Linked DNA regions of Canis lupus familiaris. The protein of the gene in region 6 interacts with the protein of the main gene of each other region in a biochemical or structural test. Links are inferred from orthologs where the notes say so. Each region holds a gene or a part of one and is shown on either strand. Other genes may lie near its edges.

Region 1 (5,204 bases), on a different chromosome or scaffold from region 6:
GCCAGGGAACTTACCAGCTCTGGGGTCCCAAAGACGGAGCGAGAGGACAGTGTGGGTGCTGGGGCTCCCAGCTGCAGTGTCCCTCCTTTTCTGGGGGGGCGGAGGGGGCTACCTCTCAGACCTGTCTCCCTTCTCACCTGCTCACTCACAGGCTTTTTTGCCTTTTTTTTTTTTTTTTTTTTTTTGTCTCTTGCCTCTTCTGATCACTCTTCCCTTTCTTTCCGAGTGTCTCTGTCTCTGGCCTCACCTGGTCTCTCCGGTTCTCAATCTGTCTCCTCCAGTCTCTCTCTCTCACTCATTCTCTTCCCCGCCCCCCACCTCAGCACTTTCCCTTCCAGTCTTTTCTGTTTCTGTTCCAGATCTTTTTCGTTCGGGCTGACACAGAGTCTCTTCCTCAGGTCTCCATTTCGTTCTCCCCCCCCCACCCCCACCCTCTAGCTCTTCCTCCTTCTCTCTATCTCTGTCCCCACCGACGCTGTTTCCTCCTCTCTCTCAGATTCCCCTTCTGTCTTCCTCCCCTCTCCGTTTCTCTTTCCTCCCTGCTGGTCTGCCAGCCGCCCACGCTGCGGTCTCCCCTTCCAATCCCGGTTGACCCCGCCCCTCCTGGCCTCCCCCCACCCCTTCCAAGCCTGACCCCTGGCTCCGGTGCCCCACAGCTGAGGGGAGGGGCTGGGGCTCCCCTGACTCCTGGGTCCCTGCTGGGCTGGGATTCCTAACTGTTTGGAGAGGAGGAGCTGGGCCTGGACTCCAGGGCCCAGGTCACTGTACCCTAAAAGGAGGTAGCTGAGATCCTGGAATAGAGGGGGCTCACACTTCTGGATACACGAAAAGGTGTAAAGGTGTGAGCCTGGAGTTAGAACTCCTGAGTTGTTAACGGAGTCCGGCATCTGGAAAGGTGTTTCTGGGTGGACAGGTCCAGGTTTTCCAGAGGAGGGAGTGACCCCGGATTCCTGGATCATGGCTAGGGCAGGGTCAAGGGGCCATGGCCAAACATCTATCTCAGATCCAGGTGAGCACTGTGTTCTACACTGAGGATATTTCAAGGAGCAAAATTAGGGACCAGGTAGGAGGGATGGGGCAGGGAATTGGGACTGTGTCCCAGAGTCTGAAACTTGTGGCTGGAGACCCCACTCCCATGAGGTTCAGTGGATGCACTTTGGCCAGAATTTCGGTTTGTGTATGAGCTCTTGTGAGTTTGAAGTGGATGAAATCCAGGTGCGGAGCCTCGGGCTTGAGACCAGTTAAGGAGTCTTTTGAGGTTTTGGTTTCGAATCCACTCACCCACATATGTCGAGCACCTACTATGTGTCCAGCACCGAGGGGGGAAAAAAAAAAAAAAACAATGATTATGGGGATCCCTGGGTGGCTCAGTGGTTTAGCGCCTCCTGATCCTGGAGTCCCGGGATCGGGATCGAGTCCCGCATCAGGCTTTCGGCATGGAGCCTGCTTCTCCCTCTGGCTGTGCCTCTGCCTCTCTCTGTGTTTCTCTCATGAATAAATAAAATCTTTAAAAAAAAAAAAAAAGAAAAAGAAAGAAAGAAAGAAAAAAGCAGTGAGCAAAGCCAAGTGCCTGCCTTCAGCGTGCTTGCATTCTTGTTCTCATCTGCAATCAATGTGGATTGCTGTGACCACTTCCGCCAAGGGACTTCATTCCGGAGCCTCAGTTTCTCATCTGTGAAATGGAATCAACCATCTCCCCAACCAGGAAGGAAGCGGGACCGTTGTGAAGGGGGGACTCTGGTCTGAGGCCTGCTGATTACACTGGGGTTTTGGGAAGGCGTTTTCGCACCGGAACGGGAATTGGGAGAAAACCCGCGGCTCCCGAAGCCCCGCACGCATTTGATTGACAGCTCGCCCGTTTCGGGCGTGGTCGCGCTCGGAAACGTCGTTGTGTCGTCATAAAACCCCTGGAATCTCCGCGAGAATTCCAATCCCGAGCCGGGTGGTTTTGGTTTCAAAACCCCGCCCCCGTGACGTCAGCACGTGAGGTTGCGCTGGGCTATAAAGGCCTTTGGAGGCTGCGTCAGTTCCAAGCTCTGCTGTGCAACTTACACGCTCAGGTTCAGGACGCCGCATCCCTTCGCCGCGACAGCGCTTGCAGCAGCCGGTGGTACCCGGAGTCCCCGAGCCCGACACCGGAGGGCGAGATGAACGCGCTGGCCTCCCGAGCCGTCCTGAGCTGCGATCGCTGGTGGCAACCCGAGCCGGCGCTCCTGCCCCCAGGTTGACGCGTAGCCCCCCATCGGTGAGCGAGGGGTCCGAACGCCTGGGCCCCGAGCAGTTGGGGAGCTGGGGATCAGACTCCTGGTCAGTAAGGAAGAAGGGATTACCCATTTCTGGGTACCGAGACAGGAGAATTTGAGGCCGGGACCCCAGGATCCTGAGGAAGGAGGGCCTGGGAACCGGAACTCCTGTATTTGGGGAGAGATGGGACCAGGACAGATTCGAGGGCCCAGACCTACGCAGGAGAAGAAATTGGGAGCCTGGAGGCCTGAGCCTGGCGAGAGGAGGGTTCTGGAAGCCAAACTCCTGGATCCCTGGTGGAAGGGATGGAACTGGGCAGGGGGAGCCGCAGTTCTTGAGTCTCAGAGGGGGGAGGGTGATGAGGGCCTGATTTGTCGATCCTCAAGAAAATGACAGAACCAGGGACTAGGACCTTGTCCCCAAGGGAAGCAAGTCGAGGACCTGTGTTCTCAATTCTGGGGTCTGGGACTGCTGGGTCTGAGAGAAGAGGCTGGAACCTCTGACTCCTGGGTATTGAGAGAAGAGAGGTGGGAAAGCTGTGCCTCTGCTAGAGATGGAAGTGGCAGAAATCAGCAAGAATGTGGGGCAGGGACTCTCTTGTTGCTATTTGTGTTACTGTTTATGGTTGCTATGACTCAGTCCTCGCTTGATACTCTTCCCTAAATGGCTTCTAAACTATTTCCTTTGTTTATTTCCAGCACAGACAGATGGCCCCAGGCCAAGTGCCCCATCAGTCTGCCCCCTGGAGGGATACCTACCCCTTTTTCCTCCTGTCCCCGCTGATGGGCCTTCTCAGCAGGGCCTGGAGCCACCTGAGAGGCCCAGGATCTCCAGAACCCTGGCCGTGGGAAGCAGTAACCAAAACGGATCGGGGAAAACCTGGCCTGGAGAGAGAAGCTAAGACTTTTCTAGTCCCCCACCATCCCCTCTGGGGCAGGCACTTTGAAGAAGAGATTGGAGACAGTGGAGCAAGTGATGAGAATGGAGAAGCATTTTGGGGGGCCCGCCATAATCTAAAAGCCAACAGCTCTTCTCTTAAAGCAGGGGGACTTTCAGATAATGAAGATGAAGAATATGGTGGGGAACAAGCAGCAACCAGTGTCCCTAAAGAGCAGGAAAGTGAATTCCTAGATGGCCAGCCTGCTCCCCTGTCCCCCAGCCTTCTGATAAGAACCCCACAGGACCCTTCTGAGGAGAAATCTGAGGAAGGAGGAGCTGCAGAAGACAAAGTGGTCATGTTCTTCTCTTTTCCTCCATCACACTGGGAGTGTTGTCCAGGGGAGGAAAAGGAGGAAGGAGAAGCTATAAACAAAGAAGCTTCCAGAACACCGATTTTCCCTTTATCTCCAAGATCCAAGCCCAAAACTCGGGTGTACTGTCCCAGGGAGGAAGAAGATAAAGCCATAGAGGAAGAAAGAACAGAGGATAAAGAAGCCACAAAAAGCTCCATTTCCTCCTCATTTTCAGGCTTTTGCCCCGGGGCCTGGGAGTGTTGCTCAGGAGAGGAATGGGAGGAGGAGGAGGATGAATTCAGTGATTCAGGAGCAGCTGAGGAGGAAGGAGAAGCTGAGGTTCTCTCTTCCATCCCATCCACAAGTGCCCTCATGAGGGCCTGGGTGTATCGGCCAGGAGAGGAGTCAGAGGAAGAAGATGAGGACAGTGATTCAGGAGCAGCTGAAGAGGAGAGAGAACCTGAGGGTCCTTCCTCCATCCCATCCACAAGTGCCCTCATGAGGGCCTGGGTGTATCGGCCAGGAGAGGACTCCGAGGAAGAAGGTGAGGACAGTGATTCAGGAGCAGCTGAAGAGGAGGGAGAACCTGAGGGTCCCTCCTCCATCCCATCAACAAGTGCCCTTGTGAGGGCCTGGGTGTATCGGCCAGGAGAGGACTCAGAGGAAGAAGATGAGGACAGTGATTCAGGAGCAGCTGAAGAGGAGGGAGAAGCTGAGGGTCCCTCCTCCATCCCATCCACAAGTGCCCTCGTGAGGGCCTGGGTGTATCGTCCAGGAGAGGACTCAGAGGAAGAAGATGAGGACAGTGATTCAGGAGCAGCTGAAGAGGAGGGAGAAGTTGAGGGTCCCTCTTCCATCCCATCCACAAGTGCCCTCGTGAGGGCCTGGGTGTATCGTCCAGGAGAGGACTCAGAGGAAGAAGATGAGGACAGTGATTCAGGAGCAGCTGAAGAGGAGGGAGAAGCTGAGGGTCCCTCCTCCATCCCATCCACAAGTGCCCTCGTGAGGGCCTGGGTGTATTGTCCAGGAGAGGACTCAGAGGAAGAAGATGACGGTGACTCAGGAGCAGCTGAAGAGGAGGGAGAAGCATATGATCCCTCCTCCATCCCATCCACAAGTGCCCTCGTGAGGGCCTGGGTGTATAGGCCAGGAGAGGACACAGAGGAAGATGATGATTCAGAAGCAGTTAACTCAGAGCCAAGTCCCTCACTTCAGGCTCAGAGCACCCTCCTCAGGGGCTGGACATACCAGCCTGGAGAGGACACAGAGAGAGGGGGAGAAGCTGAGCCCTGCCCCTTCCGAGTGGCCATCTATTTACCTGGAGAAAAGCCACCACCTCCCTGGGCTCCTCCTCGGCTGCCCCTCAGACTGCAGAGGCGACTCAAGCCCCCAGAAACCCCCACCCGGCATCCAGACCCTGAGACTCCCCTAACGGCCAGAAAGGTGGGTACTGAGGGCTCAAATTCTCAAGTCTTAGGGGAAGAGCTGGAAGTCCTAGGCCTGGGGGCAGAAGGCCTGAGTGCCCCAATTTCTGGACCCCCTGTGTGTTGCAGGGGATTGCATGCAAACCCTGTTGGGAGGGTTGTGTTCACTGTAATGCAATCCTTTGCAAGAGGCTGGGGCCCCATGGGAAGAGGCCCTGTGGGAAGAGGGAAGCTGTTGTGGTTCATGTCAGCACCAGGAAACAGCCTCCACCTGCAGTGAGTCACATGGAGAATCCCGTGGGTG
Region 2 (4,414 bases), on a different chromosome or scaffold from region 6:
TGTTCATCTCTTATTTTTTCATTGCTGGGTATATTGTTCCCTGTTTTCCAGTTGTCTCAATTGTATTGCCACCTTTGAATGTAGATTTAATTGTTTTGTACTTCCTTTGGAAATTTGTACATTCCTAATAAAGTCTGACTAGACTATAGTATCAATTGGTCCAAAAAGGTTCAGGATATCCCTGTATTAGGGATGTACTGGAGTTTGTGTTGCCTTAATTATAGAAACTGCTAGTTGTGTGGGTATTTATTTGAAAAGTTTGGTTTTAATGTTTTCAATAATCTCATTATTAAACGAATCTGTAAGTGGAAAAGCTGGCAAGAGGATAGGTGCCATAGATAAGAGATGTGATTTGCCAAGTACGAAAAGCAAGAGCTGTAAAGGTCTTTGTTTTTTTTCCGTATATTTGGAAACACATTTTGTCCTTTAAATTCTCTGACCGTCTTTTTTTCTCTAAACACTGCCTTCCCCATCTCTAATGTGGTCTGCTTTATAAGCTCTTCGCTACACTTATTTGCTACATTTCCTTGATTTTTTTTTTTTAAGATTTTATTTATTCAGGCAGCCCGGGTGGCTCAGCGGTTTGGCGCCTGCCTTCAGCCCAAGGCGTGATCCTGGAGACCCGGGATCGAGTCCAACGTCAGGCTCCCTGCATGGGCCTGCTTCTCCCTCTGCCTGTGTCTCTGCACCCCTCTCTCTCTCTCTCTCTGTGCTTCTGTGTCTCTCTTATGAATAGAGCAGCAGAATGAAGCCAGTGTCCACACTCTTCCACTAACCATGTGTTAAAAGAACAAGAACTAAACTCAAGGAAAAAGCAGGCAGGGTTCAAGTGTCCAAACAGCTAAGAACAGTATTATTGTGTTGTCCTAAAGGCAAACAAAGTATCAAGGAGCCTGACTTAGATTCATCTTATAAAAGATTTTCTAGGGGATCCCTGGGTGGCTCAGGAGTTTAGCGCCTGCCTTCGGCCCACAGCATGGTCCTAAAGTCCTGAGAGCGAGTCCCGCATCGGGCTCCCTGCATGGAGCCTGCTTCTCTCTACCTCTCTTTCTGTATCTCTCATGAATAAATAAAATCTTAAAAAAAAAGAAAAGAAAAGAAAAGAAAAAGATTTTCTAGGCCACCTTTTTTCCTATAATGCCAATAGTAATAATGGCTTAAAAAAAATCAAATAGGGACACCTGGGTGGCTCAGCAGTTGAGCATCTGCCTTCAGCTGAGGGTGTGATCCCAGATTCAGGGATCGAGTCCAGCATTAGGCTCCCTGCATGGGGCCTGCTTCTCCCTCTGTGTCCCTCTCTCTCTCTCTGTTTCTGTGTCTCTCATTAATAAATAAATAAAATCTTAAAAAAATAAAGATTTTATTTATTCATGAAAGACACAGAGAGGCAGATACAGGCAGAGGAAGAAGCAGGCTCTTCACAGGGAGCCCGATGTGGGACTTGATCCCAGGAGCCCGGGATCACGACCTGAGCAGATGCTCAACCACTGAGACACCCAGGCCTCCCAAGAGTTTGAGCCTGTCTCATCTTCTCCTTAAAACTCTGGGCTACGTTTTCTGTTACATAGATTTTCACAGTATATCTTTAAACCTCTGTATTTTCTATTATTGGAAGAATAATATTTTTAGTTACTTAGGGATTTTCCCTTATACTCTCACCTGCAGAGCTCCGGAAATTGGCTTCAGTCCTTGTCAGTGACTGGATGGCTGTCATCCGCTCCCAGAGCAGTACCCAGCCTGCTGGTAAGCTCCTTAGTCTTTTATCCCTTGTATTTATTTCTTTCCCACTGGCCTTCGGTGGCTTTAGCCTGCTTCACCTCTTGACAGTCTTTCTCTTTAAATAAAATCCTTTTCTGCTTTGTTTTTTCACAACAGAGAAAGATAAGAAAAAACGTAAAGAAGAGGGGAAGAGTCGAACCACCCCTCCCGAGCGACCCTTGACTGAGGTGAAGGCTGAGACCCGGGCTGAGGAGGCCCCAGAGAAGAAGAAAGAGAAGCCCAAGTCTCTCCGAACCACAGCACCCAGTCACGCCAAGTTTCGTTCCACTGGTAGGGTGGTTGGCTGGTCTTGGGAGAGTCTGTGGGCAGATGTACACCTAGGGTCTTGTGGTGGAATAGTGGATTTATGACATGGGGAAGAGAGAAGATGGAAGACTAGTAGGTGAGGTTTGGGCTGGGTAAAGATTTAGTGTTGGAGTGGGGAGGAAGAGTTAGAGTGGTAATAAGTTCAACGCAATGGCATGTTTCTTCCCTCAGGGCTAGAGCTGGAGACCCCATCTTTGGTGCCTGTGAAAAAGAACGCCAGTGCAGTGGTGGTTTCTGACAAGTACAATCTTAAACCCATCCCCCTCAAGCGTCAGAGGTATGGCCCTTGTGTACTGGGTTCTGTGTGGGTTATGTCTGTGGACATGAGGGAGGAAGAGGGGGCAAGTTAGGGTGCATCAGAGATCATGTTGATGGCTCATCTTCCAACAGCACCACAGTTGCTCCAGGAGATGGTGCTCCCCCTGCAGAGAAGAAATACAAGCCACTGAACACCACACCAAATGCCACCAAAGAGATCAAAGTGAAGATCATCCCACCACAGCGTGAGTCTGAAGTAGAGGAACACACTTTGAATTGGGAGAGAACTCCATGGAAATGAGTTGGGGGGGTGGTACAAGATGGATTTCTTAGTTTTGTGTGCTTGTCTTAATTTTTGCACCTCTGGAGCTCCTCTTTCATAGGATTACTTAGAAGTAATCTTGGGTATGGGAATGGGGTGCTATTCGGTGACTGGTTCGGGGTGCTCCCAGTCTCGGGATAGTCGGTCCTGTCCATGAGGGTTGTTTTCCTAAGTCACCTGAGCTCTAATTAATACTGAAAGCCTCAAGTTGCTTTTATTTAGTTATTATTTATTACTAGTTAGTTAGTTAGTTTAGCCCCCCTGATGCGTGGGGCTCGATCCCAGGACCCTGGGATCGTGACCTGAGCTGAAGGCAGACGCTCAACCCCATGAGCCCCGCCAGACACCCCAAGTTGCCTGCCTTTATTTTTATTTATTTATTTATTTATTTATTTATTTATTTATTTATTTATTTATTTATTTATTTATTTTAAAGATTTATTTATTCATTCAGAGAGAGCAAGAGAGAGGCAGAGACATGGGCAGAGAGAGAAGCAGGCCCCATGCAGGGAGCCCGATGCGGGACTCGATCCCGGGTCTCCAGGATCGCACCCCAGGCTGCAGGCGGTGCTAAACCGCTGTGCCACCCGGGCTGCCCAGTTGCCTGCCTTTAAAAGAAAGAATAGGGCACCTGGCTGGCTCAGTTGGAGGAACATGCAACTCTTTATCTCCAGGTCATGAGTTCAAGCCCCCATGTTGGTTATAGAATTTCTTTTTTTTATTTTAAAGATTTTATTTATTTATTCATGAGAGACAAAGAGAAAGAGAGGCAGAGGGAGAAACAGGCTCCACGCAGGGAGCCCGATGTAGGACTCCATCCCGGGTCTCCAGGATCACGCCCTGGGCCGAAGGCAGACGCTCAACCACTGAGCCACCCAAGCATCCTGATTATAGAATTTTTAAAAACAGGGGCAGCCCCAGTGGCCCAGCAGTTTAGCATGCCACCTTCGGCCTAGGGTGTGATCCTGGAGACCGGGATCGAGTCCCACGTCAGCTCCCTGCATGGGGCCTGCTTCTCCGTCTGCCTCTCTCTCTGTATCTCTCATGAATAAATAAAGTCTTTTTTAAAAAAACTGAAAAACAAAATTAAAAAAAATTTTTTTTTTCTTGTATGAATCCAGCATATGCATCCTGGCCACCTTGAACTTAACTGTGTCCTAAGTTGGGGTAGGGTCTCCATTGGCCCATTTCCTGCTCAAACTTTGTAGGAATAGGATTGTGAAAGAGGTCTGATGGTTCCATTTTATGCTTTATCCTCTTGTAGCTATGGAGGGCCTGGGCTTCCTGGATGCACTCAATTCAGCCCCTGTTCCAGGCATCAAAATTAAGAAGAAGAAGAAGGTGTTGTCACCCACAGCTGCCAAGGTATGAGCCCTGTGCCGTAGATGTCAATGACAGGATATCTAAAGTGAAAGGAAGGGCCCAGGAATGGTTGGGAGGACCACAGGATGTGGACTGGGGTGAGGGTTGGGGGGCTGGCAGTGGGAGACGCAAAGTCTTCCTTCATCTGAATCCGCAGGGGAGCCTGTCTAGGATGCTGGACTAACTGCCTTACCTTAACCTTGGCTTTCGTGTCAACTCATTAACTTCTTTTTCTTTCACAATAGCCAAGCCCGTTTGAAGGGAAAACGAGCACAGAACCGAGCACGGCCAAACCTTCTTCCCCAGAACCAGCACCAACTTGTGAGGCTATGGACACAGATCGCCCAGGAACCCCAGTTCCCCCTGTTGAAGTCCCAGAGCTCATGG
Region 3 (5,075 bases), on a different chromosome or scaffold from region 6:
CGGTGGGGCTCGGCGAGGTTCCGCGTCGGCTCTGCTGCCTTAACCGGGCTTTTAGACTCGCTGCCTGCAGAGCAGAAGGACAGGGGGATGCAAGGCTGAGCGGCAAGGTAAGCAGTCCCGGGGGCCTTCCCGACCCCGGGGGGCGCTGGGCTAGGGGCGGCGCTCAGCGGAGCCGAGGCTCCTCCGGGGGTCCGCCCGGGATTCGGAGGGCCAGCCCAGCCAGCCGCCTGTAGCCCAGACGACCACCTGCTCGGGAAGATGCCACCTGGTCCATTCACCTGCCCCGCGGGCCGAGCGTGCACCATCGGTGCCACCAGCGCGGTCCAGTGTACTGGGTCCTGCACAACTAAGACCTCGTCTGTTTCTGAGGCCAGCAGGTTGCCAACAACACCCAAGTCCCCCGAATGTTCTCCAGGCAGGAGAGCACACTCGCAAACAACCACTCTAAATCTGTCCCCATGCCAGGACCTGTACCAACCCATTATCCCCTGCATCTGTCTTGTACCTAGCCCCGGCATCCCCTGCACTGGGACCTGACCTCGTCCCTGCCCCTGCCATCCCCTGCACTGGCAATGACCCTGACCCTGCCACCCCTGCACCAGGACCTGACCCTGACCCTGCCATGCCCTGCACTGGCACCTGACCCTGACCCTGCTATCCCCTGACCCAGGACCTGACCCTGACCCCAACCATCCCCTGACCTAGGACCTGACCCTGACCCTGCTGTCCCCTACACCTGACCCTGACCCTGACCCTGCCATGCCCTGCACCGGGACCTGGCCTTGACCCTGCCACCCCTGCGCCAGGACCTGACCCTGACCCTGCCATGCCCTGCACTGGCACCTGACCCTGACCCTGCTATCCCCTGACCCAGGACCTGACCCTGACCCTGCCATCCCCTGCGCCAGGACCTGACCCTGACCCTGCCATGCCCTGCACTGGCACCTGACCCTGACCCTGCCATCCCCTGACCCAGGACCTGACCCTGACCCTGCTATCCCCTGACCCAGAACCTGACCCTGACCCTGCCACCCCTGCACCAGGACCTGACCCTGACCCTGCCATGCCCTGCACTGGCACCTGACCCTGACCCTGCCATCCCCTGACCCAGGACCTGACCCTGACCCCAACCATCCCCTGACCTAGGACCTGACCCTGGCCCTGCCATCCTCTGCACCGGAACCTGACCCTGACCCTGACCCTGACATGCCCTGCACCGGGACCTGGCCTTGACCCTGCCACCCCTGCGCCAGGACCTGACCCTGACCCTGCCGTCCTCTGCCCCGGGACCTGACCCTGACCCTGACCCTGACCTGCCCTGCACCGGGACCTACCCCTGACCCCAAGCATCCTCTGCACTGGGATCTGCCCCGGGCCCCGACACTGGGGCGCTCGGGGGCGCTGGCTCCGAGGGCAGCGGGGGCTCAGCCCCGGCCCCTCAGGGCGCCCCTAACGGGGCTGTCCCCAGCATCCCGCCCGCAGCCCCCAGCCCCCAGCCCAGCACGCGGACGCCGAGGCTCGGCGGGTGGCCGCCCGGCGCACGGAGCTCCCGCGGAGCGGGCCTGGAGGCGCGGGGCCTCCTCCAGGCGAGACCCGGCGCTCGCTAACCTCGCCGCCAAACGCCGGCTGCGGCGACGCCCGCCAGCCGAGGCCGAACCGCCGCGGGCCGCCCTCGCCCCCGGGACGCGCTGCGAGCGGCGGCGCCCGGCGCCTCTGTGACGCCATCAGCGCGCGCGCCGCCCCGGCCCCGCCCCGCCGCCTTCTGCGCAGGCGCGGCCCCGAGCTGCTCGGCGGCGGCGGGAGGCTGCGGCGGCGGGCGGCGGGGGATGGTCCAGCGGGCGCGATGGCCCCCGCCATGCAGCCGGCCGAGCTGCAGTTCGCCCAGCGGCTGGCGTCTCACGAGAAGGGCATCCGGGACCGCGCGGTGAAGAAGCTGCGCCAGTACATCAGCGTGAAGACGCAGAGGGAGACAGGTGGGCGCCGGGCGGGCAGCGGCGCACATGGCGGCGGGGGGGGGGGGGGGGGCTGCCCGCGGGGGTTTGCGCCGCGCTCGCCCGGACGAGGGGGCGGGAGGGGGCGGGCGGACGGACGGACGGACGGACCCGACCTCCGGGGGGCGCCGGGGGGCCGGGGGGCTCGGAGAGGTCCAGAGGGCGGGGAGGGGATGGGGAGCGGGTCCGGGAAGGCCTCTGCGGTGGCGAGCGGAGCGGGAGCGGCTGCGGGAGCGGCTGCGGGTGCAGGAGCGGGAGCGGCTGCGGGTGCGGGAGCGGGTGCGGGGCCGCGCTGCGCTCCAGGCCGTCGGGGCTGCAGCCCGAAGCTCACGGGCCCCGACATGCGGTGCAGCCCCCGGGGGTGCGGACCACCGCCCACGGCGCAGGCTCTGCGCTGCGCTCGGATTCATTTTGACGTGTTGACTGCTAACACTACTGCCTTGAGAGTCTACTGGACAGAACAGGTATTGGGACACCCCCACCCCCACCCCGGTGGCCCAGGGCGTGACCCCGGGGTCCTGGGATCCAGCCCCGCATGGGCTCCCCCGCAGGGAGCCTGCTTCTCCCTCCACGTCTCTGCCTTTCTCACGAATAAGTAAATAACCTAAAAGAAAGAAAGGACAGGCGTTATCTGTCTCTGTACTGACTTTCTCAGTTCGTTTGGTCTTTGAGGAGAGATGGAAAAGGACCACCCCGGGGGAAAAAGAAAATACAGTTCTGTGGGACGTGCCCCAGAAAGGAGGGAAGACCAGATTTCTGACTTCAGTTCTGCTTAGGGATCTCGCGGAGAGGCGACGTTTATTATCACAGCTTCGGGTCCCCGAGTGCTCGAGTTGCGGGAGCAGACCTGGCTGCTCCCAGCGCAGATAGGATGCACGGACGAGGCGCTTCCACCTGGGTGTCCCTCGTGGGCACCCCAGACTCGAATGCCCCAACGTGATTCATTCTCCTCCTCCCTAAAACCTGTTCTCTCTTGCTTCACTTTTGCCGCCTGTGTTCTCTCATCTTAGGTGCTAGCTCCCGCCATCCCCTCAAAGCCAGGCTGGACGCACCATAATGTCCTGGATGGCTCTTCCCGGTCTTCTCCTCCACCCCTCATCCATGGTCTCTTGCTGCTTCTGCCTGTTTCATCTGCTGAGTTACTCTGCCCTCACCGTTTATCTCATCTAGACTCTGAACTTGCTTATTTCCTAGCCAATCTCTTTAAGTCCATTTGACCCTCTATTGAACCTCTCGTCCACAAACCAGCCCGGGTCATTTTCTAAAAACGGTTCTGATCACGTCACCACCTTCTTGGATTTCCAGGTCTGCAGGCAATGGTCTGTCCTCCCTTCTCTTGCCACTTCGGCCCCTACGTGATGCTTTGTGCTGACTCTTGGTATACATGCATCGTTTCTCTCCTCTCCGCCTTTGCTTCTCTTGCGCACTCCTAGCATTCAGTTCAACATCACTTCCTCCAAAGTGCCTTCCCTACCATCTCACACCACCCCTCCAGGATTCCAAAATATCCAGTGTGTGTCTGTCATGGCACTTAGCTGTGTGGCTTCTTCGTTCTCTGTTACTGTATCACTCTTCCCCAAACAGTGTAAACTTCCGTCTGTCTGCTTAGCTGGAAGTGGGAGCACATCCAGGCATACCGGGCTTGCCTCCACACAAGAACACAAGAAAGGCCAGATGCAGTACATATGGGCTGAAATGGCCAAACAGAGCTTGATGAGCGGGCCCAGGATCTGCAGGGACATGGGCATGAGGCCACTGGGTCTGCACCAGTGCCCCCAGGTCCTGTTTGGTCAGTGCCCATCATGCCAAGAGAGACTATCTTGTTCACCACCACGCCCACGTTGCGTAGAGTATGCTGGGCCTCTGAAGAAGGAACTGCATGGTGAATGTCACAGACGGTGACAGGGAGGTATAATAAGCCGGGCTTCTGCCGCCACTGTCCCCCGTGGACCTGAAATGCAAGTTGGGGAGTAACTTGACCTGACGTGTGTGTCTCCTTGACAGGCTCACGGTTTGTTGTGTTTTGTTTCGTGTGTAGTAAAGGAAATCTGAAATCTTAGTCTTACTGGTATGAAGAACTGCCCACCAGCAACATAAATAGTTTTGTGGGGGTTTGTTTTTTTGTTTTAAGTGATCTTGGGGCACATGGGTGACTCTATCGGTTGAGTGTCTGACTCTTGATCTCCCCTCAGGTCTCAAACTTAGAGTCATGAGTTCAAGCCCCACCCTGGGCTCCACACTAGGCATGGAGCTTACTTAATAAAAAATTTAGGGACGCCTGGGTGGCTCAGCGGTTGAGCGTTTGCCTTGGGCTCAGGGCATGATCCCAGGATCTGGGTTCAAGTCTCACATCAGGCTCCCTGCATGGAGCCTGCTTCTCCCTCTGCCTATATCTCTGTCTCTCTCTCTGTCTGTTTCTATGAATAAATAAATAAAATCTTTTAAAAAAAATTAAAAAAAAATAATCTCTACGACCAACATGGGGCTGGAACTCACGATCCCAAGATCAGGAGGCAGATGCTCCACTGACTGGGGCAGCCAGGAACCCCAGAAGCTTTGTAAACAAATTGGGAACTTTTGTAGTGCTTAAAGCAGCTAAATGATGCTCTGGGGTGTTGTAACTTCACACAGAGCACGTACAGAATGATCGCTATCTATGGTTTTACCCATGAGAGCTCATTTGTACCGTTCATTCACGTCTTCAGCAAACACAGAGCACCTACTGTGTGCTCTTACTATTGTTGGCACTGAGAATAATAGAGCAGGGAATGAAAAACAGACACACACACACCCCCCGGCTTTATTGATTCTGCAACTGTAAACATGTAACATCTGCAGAAACTGGGATGGATCTTAAAATCAACCTTGTGCCCTCTTGCTCTCATTTGGTGGCACGTAAGAGAACCGTACATCTTACGGCTGATGGGGCTTCAGATTCAGTATTGGAGGAAGTATTTCTTCATACTAACAGGCTTAGGGGTCCCTGGCCCCTTGTAGGTAGAATAGATGAGAGCTGCAGGTGTTTTGACTGACCAGGTGTGGACTCACCCCAACCTAAAATGCTCCTGAGCTCATTTCATCCCG
Region 4 (4,414 bases), on a different chromosome or scaffold from region 6:
GCTTGCTCTAGACTGACCATAAATATTCCAGAAGAAGAGTCTGAGATGAGTCTAGAATGAAATGATGGATTTTATTAATTTATGTTCCTTCTGCCTTTCATATTGCAGGCTTGGGATGATGTAGTACGTAAAGAAAAACCTAAAGAGGATGCATATGAATATAAAAAACGTTTAACGTTAGACCATGAGAAGAGCAAATTGAGCCTTGCTGAAATTTATGAGCAGGAATACATCAAACTCAACCAGGTAAGGAAGCCTGGAAGGCAAAGCCATTGTTACTTAAAAAAAGAAGTGGAGAACCAGCTCTGCTGGTTGAATGAATTAAGTTCCAATTTCACCCTGGCTGAAATTCATGAAAGGAATCTTGAGCTCTTGGCTCACCTTATTTAAATGTGAGACAGAGTATGTTAGGAATAGAGGGGTTATAATACTACCACTGAATGTGAGGGGGGTAGGGGAGCTTGTATTGCATTTAGTTATTAGTCACCTAATTGTTCCACAGCTAATTACTAACTTTTCACCAATTATAGTAGCCCTACAATTTAAAAATCAGTTCTCATTCATACTGTAAAAGTTACAGATAGAACATATCTGTGAATTCATTCAGATTTTTAGGTCATGGGTTATTTGGTTTTTGATTCTTATTTCTTTTCAGTTAGATTCTTAAAAGAACTACCTGGCTAAGTAGGACAGAGCCTTATTTCCCATAATACTATATTACCAATATAGTGATGGAATTATTCCTTCACATTTGATTTATTGAGAATGTGGTCAATACGTGCTTGGGGAGGAGAGAGTATTTTATTTGCAAAAGCCATTTAAGATTTCTGCCAGATTTGTTTAATTAACGTCACATTAGCAGCAATAGTCATCAGTGCCCTCAATGCCACTGTTAAGTTGAAGATTTGGAAAGATTTGAATTAATTCTTCCTGGCGGTTTTGCATCCCAGAGTGCTAGTTGAAGGAACATGTTACTGAACATTGCCTGGCATGAGAGGATTTAGTAAACACAGAAAGTATTTTGTAACCATGAGAGTTAAAAATTAAATATGTAATGCGACAGCTGTACCAGCTCTGTAAATGATAGTTATATTTATGTCTTAGAATTCATCAGCCAGTTCTCAAGTTTTTGAGTATGGACTTAATTTAGGCTGATTCTAGACCCATTCCATTAAGAGTTTGGGGATGATGAGTATTTTCCAGAGTTTGGTATCCATCCTGGAGGTGATAAGCAAGGTGATGGTACACAGCACATGAATGAACTTCTTGTTGTTTATGTATGATTTCACAGCCATTATTCTCTGGGCTGAGGTAAACAACGTGTTTAAGATTTTTTTTTTAAATGAATTAAGTTAAAATAAAGAAGCAGTGGCAAGTGCTTAGATGTGGCTGAAGGTGGGCTTTGATGACAGAAATTGGAAACAGACCTTGATGCGTCTCAGGCATTAAGGTTGTTGAGGCAAAGAGCCAGTTGCTTCCCTGTTTTGGTGTGTATTGTTTTGTTTTGTTATGCCTTAATAAAAAAGCAAATAAAAACGGTCTTAGCCTTTTAGAATAAATATTACGGGCAGAGGGAAAAGGGGATTGTGAGCGTTTGGGCTGTTTTTACCTTTTGGTTGCCGGGAATAGTGCTGCTCTGAATAGATGTTTACATGTATTTGTTTGAGAACCTCTTTCTACATTCTCTCAGGTATTTATCTAAGGATGGAATTGCAGGGTCATATAGCAATTCTCCGTTTAACTTTTTGAGGAGCTCTCTCATTCATCTCTATTGTGACTGCACCATTTTACATCATTACCAGCACTGCACAACGATTCTAATTCCTCAGCACCTAATACTTGTTACCTAGCTCCCCTTTATTTTAATGATAGCCATCCTCATGGGAGTGGCTTAGTTCTTGATAGAAATCAGTACCAAGGGAATTATAAGTTCTAAATCATAGAGGTAGGGGTTGCTGCAGCTCCTAAAGTGCACGTCACACTTCTTCTTTGGTGCTGGCACCATCATGGTATTGATAATTTTAAATCTGCCTTGTAATGTCTTTGGAGCTGAAGCCTTGGTGTTGAGAAATGGGCTATACCTTATTGACTCTTGTGTTTTGTCCTGTGATGTGTATTAAGCTGCTCAGTCTGATGTTGCTGAACTTATTTTCTAAGCAAAAAACAGCAGAAGAAGAAAATCCAGAGCACAAAGAAATTCAGAAGATGATGGATTCTCTCTTCTTAAAATTGGATGCCCTCTCAAACTTTCACTTCATCCCTAAACCAGTAAGTGTGTTAACATTTCATTGTGTGGTCAGAGCAGATGTGACCTTAATTCCTCTGAGCTTTTGTGAAGCTAACTCTTTATTTGGTTTTAGGATACAAACCTGTAGGAATTCCTTATAAATTACATGCAGGGCCTCTCTTGAGGATGGTTCACATCTAGTCCTAGACAAGTCTGGCTTTGTCTGCTGATCCAGCCTGATCTCCAAATGGGCCCTTCCCAGGCCTCAAGTCTTAGCCACAGGGTCTCTTCATTTCTTACTCTTTCTTATTGTTCAGCCTTCTGTTTTATTTCCATCCTGCAGTTGGTTTGGAGACCTGTGGTGTCTGTACCTGATATTTTTTGGATACCTGCTCTGTGCCATATTAAGTCCTTTATGTACATTAACCCCTCTTCCCCAGTTTGATTAAGACAGATCTGTAACACTGTAAGTTTAAGATGTACAACAGTGGTTTGATACATAGGTTCCCCCACATTCGGAAAGCACATGAAGCCTTTTGCAAGACTAAATGGGGTAAAGCAAAGAAGCAATTACCATTCATTCAATGGAAAATTTTTTGAGCATTTTAGACCCCAAAAATAATCTGTTGTAGGCTTTTCTGATACTTCAGGACCAATCTTGTAATGGATGCGCAAATAAATTGAGATAAAGCACAGATGCTCACAGACATAGTTTAAAGCTCTGGTGACTTAATGCTGAGATACCAAGTGTAGTTCCTGAGGAAGGAGCTGGGCAGAGCTGCTTGCTGCAGAACAGATGCTGAATGCTATTTTTGTTTTCCCTTTTTTTAAAAAATAAAAGTGAAAAATGTTTTCAGATCTCTTTCACTTAGCAAGAGCAGATACTAATGTAGGTATTTTAGAGTGACCTAGCATAAACTTTTGAAAGGTGTGGCATACCTGCATGAATATATTGAGGAATGATTACCACGGTAAGTTTAGTTAATATCCATCACTCTATATAGTTGCAGTTTTCTTCCTTATGATGAGAGCTTTTAAGATCTACTTTCTTAGCAACTTTGAAATATAAAATACTGTTAACAGTAGTTACCCTGCTGTATATTAGATGCCTAGAACTTACAACTGGTAGTTTGTACTTGGACTTGACATCCACCTGTTTTCTATCAGTTGGGTTGTTTTAGATACATCTGAGATTGTTACTAAGAGTTAGATGGAAAAGGAACGAAGCTACCATTATTTCTCTGCCCCAGTAAAGAATTACAGGACAGAAAAATGAAAGCAAAGCAAAGTTTTATTAAATACCCTCCAAGGGAGGAGTGAGCCAGCCAAGAGAGACAATGCCCCAGAAACTGGTGCATGGGGGCGTGGGCTTATATTAGTTTTTCCTTTTGGGTGGGTCCTAGGGTGGCAACATTTGAGTGACAGGCCTGGATTATATTAGCCAAGTACTCATGTTCTTTCCCAAGATGTATTCTGAATGCCTGCAAGAGTGGGAAACTGCAACATTATTTCTGTTATAGAGACAGAAGGACAAATGGCTGCTTTCTGCAGAAGTGCAGTAAGTGCAACAAACTTAACTCTTCCTCTGCTGGGATGTTGCAGCCCCAGACCTACTGCTTGATGGGTGGAATGTAGTGGTCCCTGGGTGGGGCTCTCTGGCAGGATATCTAAGGTCCATTCTCCTGTCGCTCATGCCTAGTTTCCTGCCTAACAGGATCGTACGGTATTTATCTTTCTCTGTTGACTTCCTCCCTCAGCATAATGGCCTTAGGGTACATCAGTGTTGTCACAAATGGCAGGATTTACTTCTTTTTATGACTAAATAGTATTTCACTCTGTATTTATTCATTCATCTGTTGATGAACACTTATATTGTTTCTATGACGTGGCTATAGTAAATAATACTGCAGTGAACACGGGGGTTCAGATACTTCTTTGAGCCAGACATGGGCACCAGCTTGGCTCTACAGATGGGTGAGGTTGCTGGCCAGGATCTCTCCTTGGGCACTGCTGTGAGGAGGAATGTGGTCTGCCAAGGTCCAGGTACTGTTGCTATAAGCCCTGCCCTTGCTCTCCATCCCAGTCTGAACCCCAGTGATCAAGCCTCATATTTTCCCTCCCTGATCCTCCTGACACAGACACAATTGGGCCTGCCCAGAAGCATCCTGCAGTGCTGGGAAGCTGAAA
Region 5 (3,789 bases), on a different chromosome or scaffold from region 6:
GCTGCCAGTCTCCCTGTAAGATTGGAGGGATCAGACTGGATGCCCCAGGCAGCTGAGAGAACAGGCCTGCATTTCTTCCCAGAAATGCTACCCGCTTGGCAAGAAAGCAGCCTCGACGTCCACATTTCCTGCTGGAGCCTGTGCAGAGCCAGAGGCCCCAGGGGTGTGGCAGCCTCAGGGGAAAAGGGTATGTTGTGTGGGCTAAGGTGGGTGGCCTCCTTTCCTTCCTGCTCCTCATGGGGGGACCTTGGCCTGACCAGCTCCTGCCTCCTGCTTAGGTCTGAGGCACCTCAGGAGTGTGACCGAGGCCTGGTCTGGCCAGCAGGCCCTTCCCTGATGAGGCCTTTCCCACCAGAGGCCTGGATGGCACTGGTCCCAAGCAGCCCTTCACCCCAGCCCAGGGCCCTGCTGGGTCGCCCTGGCCTGAAGCTGCCCCCCACATTGAAGACAGGCCCAGAGCTGCTGCCCCCTTCATCCTTCATGCCGTGTGGAGTGGAAGCACCTGCCAGGGTGAGTCCTCCCGGTCACCTGGGGGTCATTCTTTGGTTGGGCCTTCGGTGCTTTTCCTCAGGTACTCGGTGCTGCTGCCACAGCTGAACTCATTGCTGCCAGAGCTACCCGCGCCAGAGGGCGCAGGGAAGGCACCCACGTTCACCACATGCAGGTGCCCCCATCCTAGAGACACGGTATGGAAAGGCTGCCCAGGCCCCCACTTGGGAAGCTTCTATCCTAGAGGTGGAGCCCCAGACACTGCAGACCGTGGAGGGTCCTGCGGGCCCTGGGGAAGCATCTGGATTTTAAGAAAAGTAGGAAATGGTGGGGGCTGGTTTGGCCTGCTCTGCCCCCATGGCCCAGCAGGTGCTGGGAGCCAGGAGTAGGTGGTGGCTGTGGTGCGGGCAGATCCCATCGTGGGAGGCAGAATAGGCAGGACCTGCTCCGATGGGTCTGATAAGGGTGAGGAAGGAATCCAGGATGGCTCCTGGGTATCTGGCCTGAGTAACTCCAGGAATAATGAGTTCTTTTACTGAAAGAGGGAAGACGGGGGGTGGGGGCTCAAGGGCTTGTTTGGGGTAAAGCCTGGAGAGTCTGTCTTGAGCCTGTCAAATTTGAGATCAAGTACCAAGGTTCTGAGTGTGGCCTTCAGAGAGCAAGTCAGGGCTTGAGAGCAAGAGAGTCTGCAATGTACATTGAAGGTTAACTCCTGGGAACCAAAGAGGTCACCTGGGAGGAAAGGGGCGGTGGCTCCCTGGGGCAGGTGACATCCAGGTGGAGGAGTCCAGGCTGGGATGGCACGGTGGTATGGGAGGCCCACGTGCTCAGAGAGAAGACAGCGGCAGGGTTGGGCCATGCCAAGAGCTGGTGCTGAGGGGAGCTGGTCAGTGTCACTGGAAGGTACTGGAGGGTTGTAGATGTGTGGTCTGACCAGGACGATTGCCTTTGACCACCTTTCCTCACTGATGTGCAGGGTCACGGTTCAGATCAGGGTCAGGGTAAAACTGCTGCTTGGAGAGGTGCTGAGCCAGGCCCTGGAGCAGGGGTGGGACTAGACTGCACAGGTGAGGGGTGTTCCTCGGGATCCTGCGGGACTTCCTCCCTTGTGTCGGGTCTGAAGAAAGGGGCAGGGGTCAGGACTAGACTGGGTGAGCTGGTCAGGTCAAGTCCTACAGCCTCACCTCCCCACGCCCTGCAGTGGGCAGCCTGGGTGCCTCCCCCAGCCTTCTTCCCAGCTTCTGTGCTCACCCGTCCTCCCTTTCCAGGCCTCTGCACAGCCCACCACTCCTGGGCTCACACTTCAGGCCTCGCCATCCCCAGCCAGTGTCCCTCAGTCCCGCCTGCTGCTTCCTGGGGACTTCATGGGCACTGGGCGCAGCTCTGGAACCATGGGTGTGCACCCAAAGCCTGTCAGCACTGCGAGCACTCGGGCCGCTCCTGGTGCCTGGGCTCCCTCCACTCAGCCTTGGCCTAGCCGAGAGGGGGGTCAAGATCAAGCCTGTTCTCCTATCACCGCGGGCCACGACGACCTGGAGGCTGAGCTTGAGAGCATCCAGCAGCAACTGCAGGACTACCAGACCATGAAGCAGAATCTCTCGTAAGACCCAGAAAACCCCAGGTGTTTCCCCACAGCTGGCTTTGGGGTGGGGGTGTCCTTGGGCAACTTGGGCCCACCCAAGTTGCTTGCTGAGCTGGGTGGTGGAGGACAGAACACAGCCACCCTCCCCACCTCCCATCAGAAGTAGCAGATGTGCCGCTTCCTCCCCTGGAGGTGCTGCCACAGGCCGGCCAGGCCAGCAGCAGGTGTCTCACTCCCTCAGGTCCTGCCAGCGGCAAGCAAGAAGCCTGCGCAGGTGGCTGGAGCTGAGCCAGGAGGAGCCCAGGCCTGAGGACCAGGAAGCAGAGCAGCAGGTGCAGGAAGAACTACAGGAGGTGAGGCCTTAGGCAGCCCTGGAACAGCTTTCTCCCCTCCTATCTCCGCGCTTTGTCTCCGCTCAGCCTCCTGCCCCTCCCCCCGTCCCCAGGTGGAGCTGCAGATCCAGCAGCTGGCCTCTGAGCTCCAGGCCCAGCGCCAGCCCATCCGCGCCTGCATCGCCCGTGTCCAGGCCCTGCGGCAGGCTCTGTGCTAGTCACTGCCCCTGGGAGGCCTCAGCCCACCTCCAGGAACAGAACGCAAAGCTGCAATGAGTTTAATTTTTTTATTTCAAAACGTTGCAATTAAATGAATTACTGTTCAGAAGTCTCCTACTTTTCATACAAAAATACTGTGCTACTGATACAGTTGAAAGAGTTCAAATGGCTTCTCCTGCAGGAGAAATTCACAGCGTCCCCAGGAAACCTGAATCCTGGCCCCACCGTCAGCGGCTCCCTAAGGACTGTGTACCTATTACCTGGGGACAGGTGTTGTAGGCACTGACCTGCCCCCCCCCTTTCCCAATACACCAAGGCTCCTTGGCCTCCAACACCAGCCCCTGAATCAATAGCAGCAACTTACCATGTTTCTGTAGGTCTGGGTAGGAGGGGAGGATGAGCTTCCCCCGGCCCCTCCTAGGCCACCACTACCTGCCTGTCCATTCACTTGGGACACCATTCAAGGGGCTCAGTAATTGGTCCTGCCACTGGAAAGAGGACTCGCCAGCTCTGGAGAGTCCCTCACTGGGGCCTGTAAAGCGCCATGCCATGGTGTCCCCCCCCCAGAAGATGCTGGCGGAGCCAAGGATGATGTGTTCGGCCACAAGTGCAAAGAGACAGCTTTTCTCAAACGAGCAGGGTGGGTGAATTGGGAACAGAAAGCGGTTGTGTTAAAGGCCACATGGTGCTGCTCTGGGGGCAGCACAGCCCAGTCGGTGCAGGCGAGGCAGATGGGGAGGCTGGAAAGCAATGATGAGAGCAGCAAGAACACACATAACCACTTTTCTGTCTTACAACAGAAATCAAGACCAACGGGACATCCAGCCAGGAGACGTAGGGTCTCCCAATTTATACAATAGGTTAAAAAATATCCAAAAGGGAATTTGAGATCATCTTGGCCTGCACATTCTCTCTTTTTAGGGTAGGAAGAGGGAACGACGTAGGTCCAGGGTCGACAGGGACTCTGACCTCATCTACACCTCGGGGACGGCAGGAAGCAGTCACCCAGGTCCTGCCTGGTTGGACCCCACAGGCTTGAGACTGTCCCCTTCCCAGACAGCCATGGAGGCTCCCCCTAAAAGACCCTCCCGTTTCTGTCTGAAAAAGCTCCCTCAGTAGCCGTTGCCAGGAAGGAGGCCCTAGAGTGAGCCCAGAGCCTCTCCGAAC
Region 6 (4,848 bases):
GAGCTTGAGTCATCCTGCAGCTCGAAAGGTTGTACCAGGTCCTCCCCCAGGGCCTGGGCCATGGTGCCCCAGACCCAAGCTACCACAGGCTGCAAGATGTGGGGAAAGCCAGTGTGAGAGGCAGCTTCTGACCAGCCTGGGGCCTGAGCTCCCATCCAGCCGGTCCCCAGCCCGGGGACCTGGCTGCAGGGTTCAGAGGGCACAGACTTCAGGGCATCTCACCAAGCCCCCTCTGTCCCCTCTTTTATCGGGGTGGGAGGGTGAGGGTGAGAGTGAGCCTTGAAATGGCAGAAAAGCCAGACCTCTGTGTAGAGGCTGGTCCCCAGGCCCAGCCCCTGCCCCCCCAGGCCAGCTTACCTCCCTGCTGCACCTCACCTCCTCCTCTCACTTCCTCCTTCTCAGCAGCTTCAGCCACCGGCTGGGGGGCCCCTCCCACACTCCCCTCCCAAGTGTGTGGGGGGGTCACCTCTTCCTCTCTGAGGCTCTTCCGGCCTGCCCCAGTGCCCCCAGGACCGTGGGCTCCTCCCACCCTCCCCATGGGCTGGGTGGCTGCAGGCTTGGGCTCCAGAGCAGGGTGTGACCAGTCCAGGACCCACCCGAGTTACAGAGGCCAGGCCCCTCCAGTTTTGAGGTTAAAACAATTCAAGATTCCAGTGAGAATTCTCGTTTATTTAATATTTGCTCTTTACAAGTAATGCTTTGAATATATACCTAACGCAGCGTTATTATGCACTCAGCAGGCAATAACGGAACTTACAAAAATTAGTTCAGCGTGCAGCACAGCGTGGACCAAGATGGGTTCAGAGCGCCGCGGCAGGTGCCTGGGTCTGGCCAGCTGCCTTGAGGGCCGCAGAGACTCAGGAGGTGGAGGCCCCCCGTGAATGTGAGGCCAGGGTTTTGGACCAACCCACCCCCCTGCTATCTCTTGAGTCTCCGTTTCCTTTTCTGCACTTCGAGGACTTGATCCGCAGTGTCTGGAGCATCGGTTATTAATGTGCTCATACCACGCTCCCGCCCAGGGGGTGGGTTAGCGTCTGACAGAGACAAACAACTCCCACAGCACTTCCGGCCCCATATTCTCGGAACTGGACTCGGGTAACTCCTCGGGGGCGGGACCAGACTCGACCCCGCCCTCCGAGCTCCACCCACCGGCCGGGCTCCGTCCCGACGGCCGAGCTCAGCCCGAGCCCCGCCCCGTCCCCTATGCCCCGCCCCCCGGGCCGCCGCGGCCGCTGCGCGCGGTGTCCGGCGGGAGCGCTAGAGCGCGGGGGCAGCGCGCAGGGCGGGGCGGCGGGCCGGGGAGGCGGGGCGGCAGGCCGGGGCGGGCCGGGGCGGGCGGAAGGAGCGCCAGGCCGGAAGGAGGCAGCGGGCGGGAGGGAGGGCGGCAGGAGCGGGCCCGGAGCTGCTGGGGCGGAGCGGCGGCGCCGCCATGTCCGACAGTGAGAAGCTCAACCTGGACTCCATCATCGGGCGCCTGCTGGAAGGTTGGCCGGGGCCGGGGAGGTCGGTGCCCGCCGCGCCCTGGCCCGGAAGTGGTGCGCGGGCGGGCCTGCCCCTCCCCGGGCCAGCTTAGACTGGGCGGGGACGGGCCGCAAGGTCCCGTGGCCACAGCCGCCCCCCGAGTCGCGGCGCGCCGGGGGAGGGGGGTTCCGGGGACGCTCTGGCACGGGGAGCAGCCCCCCTCCTGGGCGGGGGGCGCACGGGTTGGCCTGCGCTATTGGGAGTGAGGGAGAAACCTAAGAAGCCTAGCTCCACCCCTCCCAGGGGTCCTGCGCTATGGGTGGGGTGTTGGGTGGCAGGCCCCCGCGCACAGCACACCCCCTCGAGGGGGTCCCATCCTGGGAGGCCAGAGGCGGAGGTCCTGGGAGGCTCACCAGCAACAGCTGCCCCTAGGCAGGGAGGGGCCTAGGAGGCCCAGGCGCCCTCAGATGTGCCCATAGGGCCACTTGTGTCGCCCACCTTCCTCCTGCCTGAGGGACCAGAGTCTTGACACCCCATTCCTCCCACAGTGCAGGGCTCGCGGCCTGGAAAGAATGTACAGCTAACAGAGAACGAGATCCGTGGTCTGTGCCTCAAATCACGGGAGATTTTCCTGAGCCAGCCCATTCTTTTGGAGCTGGAGGCACCCCTCAAGATCTGCGGTGAGTCTGCTGCCCAGATCCCTTTGGCTTTCTGAAAGTGGAATCCCCACTTCACCCCGCCCAGTCCTTGCATTGCTGCTCCCTGGAGCCCGAACTTGGCCCTGGGTTCAAGTGTAGCCCCTGCACCTAGCGCTGAACCGGTTCCCTGGGTTACAGGTGACATCCATGGCCAGTACTACGACCTTCTGCGGCTCTTCGAGTATGGTGGCTTCCCTCCAGAGAGCAACTACCTCTTCCTGGGGGACTACGTGGACCGGGGCAAGCAGTCTTTGGAAACCATCTGCTTGCTGCTGGCCTATAAGATCAAGTACCCCGAAAACTTCTTCCTGCTCCGTGGGAACCATGAGTGTGCTAGCATCAACCGCATCTATGGCTTCTACGATGAGTGTGAGTAGCCCAAGTCCTTAAGTGACTTCCCTTTTCGGGGAGACCCTCACATAGGCCTGGCAGTAGGGGAATTGGTGTCTGACCACTACCCACAGACCGCGAGCTCTGCGAAGGGTGCACACCAGTTGGTGCCTCTCTGCCTGCCCTCCTGCCGTGGGGCCGGCACGCAGGAGGGGTCTGGGGAGTGACTGCTGAGGACTGCCCATGTTCTAATGCAGGGCCCTGCCTCATGACACTCCCCTCCAGGACATCCATTAGGCACTTGGGATGCCTATTTGGACTGGATCCTACCAACCAGAAGCTGAGATAAACCAGGCCTAGTCTTGGCCTGGCCCTGCTCACTGGGTGCGGGTGGGTTGTTTCGGATTGGAACTCAGGTTCCTCTGGACCTAGCTGCTTTAGAATTCCTGGAAGGCTGGTAGGCAGCGGAGTCGGGGGAGGGGGGATTCTCTTCTTGTCTGCCATTCTCTTCTCCCAGCTGTGTCTGGAGGGCCTCAAGACCCAGGCTGGCTGTGGGGCAGATAGGCCTCATGAGGCATCTCCTTCCTCCCAGCAGGCAAGAGACGCTACAATATTAAACTGTGGAAGACCTTTACTGACTGCTTCAACTGCCTGCCCATTGCTGCCATCGTGGATGAGAAGATCTTCTGCTGCCATGGAGGTGAGAGTGGCTCTAGGGTACATGTTGAAGGGTTCTTTGGGAAGGAAGAGCCCTGGGCCACATCCCGGGGAGCCCTGGGATGAGGCTGTTAGCTGGAGGATGTCTTCCCCGTCACCTGGAAGACCTCTCCCAGTGGTCTTGGTTTGCATGTCACTCTTTGTTTTGAGGCTTAAGCAAGTAACCTGCCCTCCCCCAGGCCTGTCCCCAGACCTGCAGTCCATGGAGCAGATTCGGCGTATCATGCGGCCTACAGACGTGCCGGACCAGGGCCTGCTGTGCGACCTGCTGTGGTCTGACCCTGACAAGGACGTGCAGGGCTGGGGCGAGAATGACCGTGGTGTCTCCTTTACCTTTGGGGCTGAGGTAGTGGCCAAATTCCTGCACAAGCACGACTTGGACCTCATCTGCCGGGCACACCAGGTGGGCTGGCAGCTCTGGGGCGGGTGGGAGTGGGGCCTGGGTAGCCAGCACCTGCTGAACAAACTGCCCCCATCCTCATCCAGGTGGTAGAAGATGGCTATGAATTCTTTGCCAAGCGGCAGCTGGTGACTCTCTTCTCGGCTCCCAACTACTGTGGCGAGTTTGACAATGCAGGCGCCATGATGAGTGTGGATGAGACACTCATGTGCTCCTTCCAGGTTGGGATGGGGGAAGGAGGGGGGCTGGTGACCCTGTGGCTTAGCCCATGAGTTTGACCAGCTCTTGTCTTTTTTAGATACTCAAGCCCGCTGACAAGAACAAGGGGAAATACGGGCAATTCAGTGGCTTGAACCCTGGAGGCCGGCCCATCACCCCACCCCGCAACTCCGCCAAAGCCAAGAAATAGCCTCCGCGTGCCCGCACTCTGCCCCAGATGGTGGATTTGTACAGAAATTACGTGGCCATAGGGGGTTCACGCTGGCCCCCCAGGCCCACCTGTCACGGGGAACACGGAGCCTTGGTGTATTTTTTTTTTTTTTTAATGAATCAATAGCAGCGTCCAATCCCCCAGGGCCCCTTCCGCCTGCTATAGTGGTGGCAAGCAGGATCCTGGGGCTGAGGCTGCAGCTCAGGGCAAAGCAGGGCCAGATGTGGGTTTCCAGCCTTGCTTGGCCTCAGGGCTGGCCGACAGATCCTGGGGCAACCCATCTGGTCTCTTGAATAAAGGTCAAAGCTGGATTCTCGCCATGGCCTCTGTCTCCCTTGTCCCAAATACTGGGCCTGGCAGCCCTTCTGTCCAGGGCTGCTTGGGAGGATAGGCATGCTGGGCATGGGGCCCCAGCTAGGGCAATCCCAGCCATAGGCTCAGGTCCATGGGGGCTTAGAATTCCAAGCTGGGGCCAGAGAGTATAGAGAAAACAGTTTGGTGACCACAAAGGATTCCAGAGGTGTGTTTAGGATTTAAGGGACAGACAAGTCATGATTGGCAAAGAAGGTAAATCAGCAGGGGCTCATAGCCCCTCTGTGATTTCTGTCCTGGGGAGGTAGGCTTAGGGAAGGCAGGTGTCCAGCCCTAGCCACATAGTTGGGAGTCTGGCCTAAAGGCCTATGGGAGGGGAATAACAGGGGGCCTCCCATCAGGTGGCAGCTCGGTGCAAAGCCTGGGAACAGACATGATTGGTTGGGAGTTAGAGAAGACAGGACCCAGGCTAGTCAGAGCCAGGAAGGACCTGGGGTGGC

Evidence for each region.
Region 1: the proteins of PPP1CA (region 6) and PPP1R15A are reported together in a solved structure, tested with the Homo sapiens proteins (2 studies listed by BioGRID and IntAct, with this or other methods). The link is inferred for Canis lupus familiaris from reciprocal best matches to the Homo sapiens genes PPP1CA and PPP1R15A.
Region 2: the proteins of PPP1CA (region 6) and PPP1R10 form a complex in vitro, tested with the Homo sapiens proteins (2 studies listed by BioGRID). The link is inferred for Canis lupus familiaris from reciprocal best matches to the Homo sapiens genes PPP1CA and PPP1R10.
Region 3: the proteins of PPP1CA (region 6) and RRP1B form a complex in vitro, tested with the Homo sapiens proteins (4 studies listed by BioGRID and IntAct, with this or other methods). The link is inferred for Canis lupus familiaris from reciprocal best matches to the Homo sapiens genes PPP1CA and RRP1B.
Region 4: the proteins of PPP1CA (region 6) and MPHOSPH10 form a complex in vitro, tested with the Homo sapiens proteins (2 studies listed by BioGRID and IntAct). The link is inferred for Canis lupus familiaris from reciprocal best matches to the Homo sapiens genes PPP1CA and MPHOSPH10.
Region 5: the proteins of PPP1CA (region 6) and SFI1 form a complex in vitro, tested with the Homo sapiens proteins (2 studies listed by BioGRID and IntAct). The link is inferred for Canis lupus familiaris from reciprocal best matches to the Homo sapiens genes PPP1CA and SFI1.

What each region holds. Positions count from the first base shown.
Region 1 is NC_049222.1:108,161,180-108,166,383, reverse strand, and holds the start of PPP1R15A (protein phosphatase 1 regulatory subunit 15A), read left to right. Parts: upstream 1-2,016; 5' UTR 2,017-2,307; intron 2,308-2,942; 5' UTR 2,943-2,951; coding exon 2,952-4,919; intron 4,920-5,204. UniProt on the Homo sapiens protein: Recruits the serine/threonine-protein phosphatase PPP1CA to prevents excessive phosphorylation of the translation initiation factor eIF-2A/EIF2S1, thereby reversing the shut-off of protein synthesis initiated by stress-inducible kinases and facilitating recovery of cells from stress.
Region 2 is NC_049233.1:560,535-564,948, reverse strand, and holds part of PPP1R10 (serine/threonine-protein phosphatase 1 regulatory subunit 10), read left to right. Parts: intron 1-1,665; coding exon 1,666-1,743; intron 1,744-1,875; coding exon 1,876-2,049; intron 2,050-2,256; coding exon 2,257-2,362; intron 2,363-2,475; coding exon 2,476-2,588; intron 2,589-3,929; coding exon 3,930-4,030; intron 4,031-4,272; coding exon 4,273-4,414.
Region 3 is NC_049252.1:37,532,501-37,537,575, forward strand, and holds the start of RRP1B (ribosomal RNA processing protein 1 homolog B), read left to right. Parts: upstream 1-1,780; 5' UTR 1,781-1,843; coding exon 1,844-1,973; intron 1,974-5,075. UniProt on the Homo sapiens protein: Positively regulates DNA damage-induced apoptosis by acting as a transcriptional coactivator of proapoptotic target genes of the transcriptional activator E2F1.
Region 4 is NC_049224.1:38,436,863-38,441,276, reverse strand, and holds part of MPHOSPH10 (U3 small nucleolar ribonucleoprotein protein MPP10), read left to right. Parts: intron 1-108; coding exon 109-246; intron 247-2,157; coding exon 2,158-2,268; intron 2,269-4,414. UniProt on the Homo sapiens protein: Component of the 60-80S U3 small nucleolar ribonucleoprotein (U3 snoRNP). Required for the early cleavages during pre-18S ribosomal RNA processing. Part of the small subunit (SSU) processome, first precursor of the small eukaryotic ribosomal subunit.
Region 5 is NC_049247.1:24,909,617-24,913,405, forward strand, and holds the end of SFI1 (protein SFI1 homolog), read left to right. Parts: intron 1-82; coding exon 83-187; intron 188-278; coding exon 279-510; exon of another isoform or gene 511-1,556; intron 1,557-1,757; coding exon 1,758-2,089; intron 2,090-2,312; coding exon 2,313-2,424; intron 2,425-2,516; coding exon 2,517-2,621; 3' UTR 2,622-2,731; downstream 2,732-3,789. Other genes in the region: PISD (phosphatidylserine decarboxylase proenzyme, mitochondrial), read right to left, coding at 3,762-3,789. UniProt on the Homo sapiens protein: Plays a role in the dynamic structure of centrosome-associated contractile fibers via its interaction with CETN2.
Region 6 is NC_049239.1:50,565,272-50,570,119, forward strand, and holds PPP1CA (serine/threonine-protein phosphatase PP1-alpha catalytic subunit), read left to right. Parts: upstream 1-1,333; 5' UTR 1,334-1,429; coding exon 1,430-1,484; intron 1,485-2,009; coding exon 2,010-2,141; intron 2,142-2,297; coding exon 2,298-2,528; intron 2,529-3,084; coding exon 3,085-3,189; intron 3,190-3,385; coding exon 3,386-3,609; intron 3,610-3,692; coding exon 3,693-3,827; intron 3,828-3,904; coding exon 3,905-4,015; 3' UTR 4,016-4,148; downstream 4,149-4,848. Other genes in the region: TBC1D10C (carabin), read right to left, coding at 1-155. UniProt on the Homo sapiens protein: Protein phosphatase that associates with over 200 regulatory proteins to form highly specific holoenzymes which dephosphorylate hundreds of biological targets.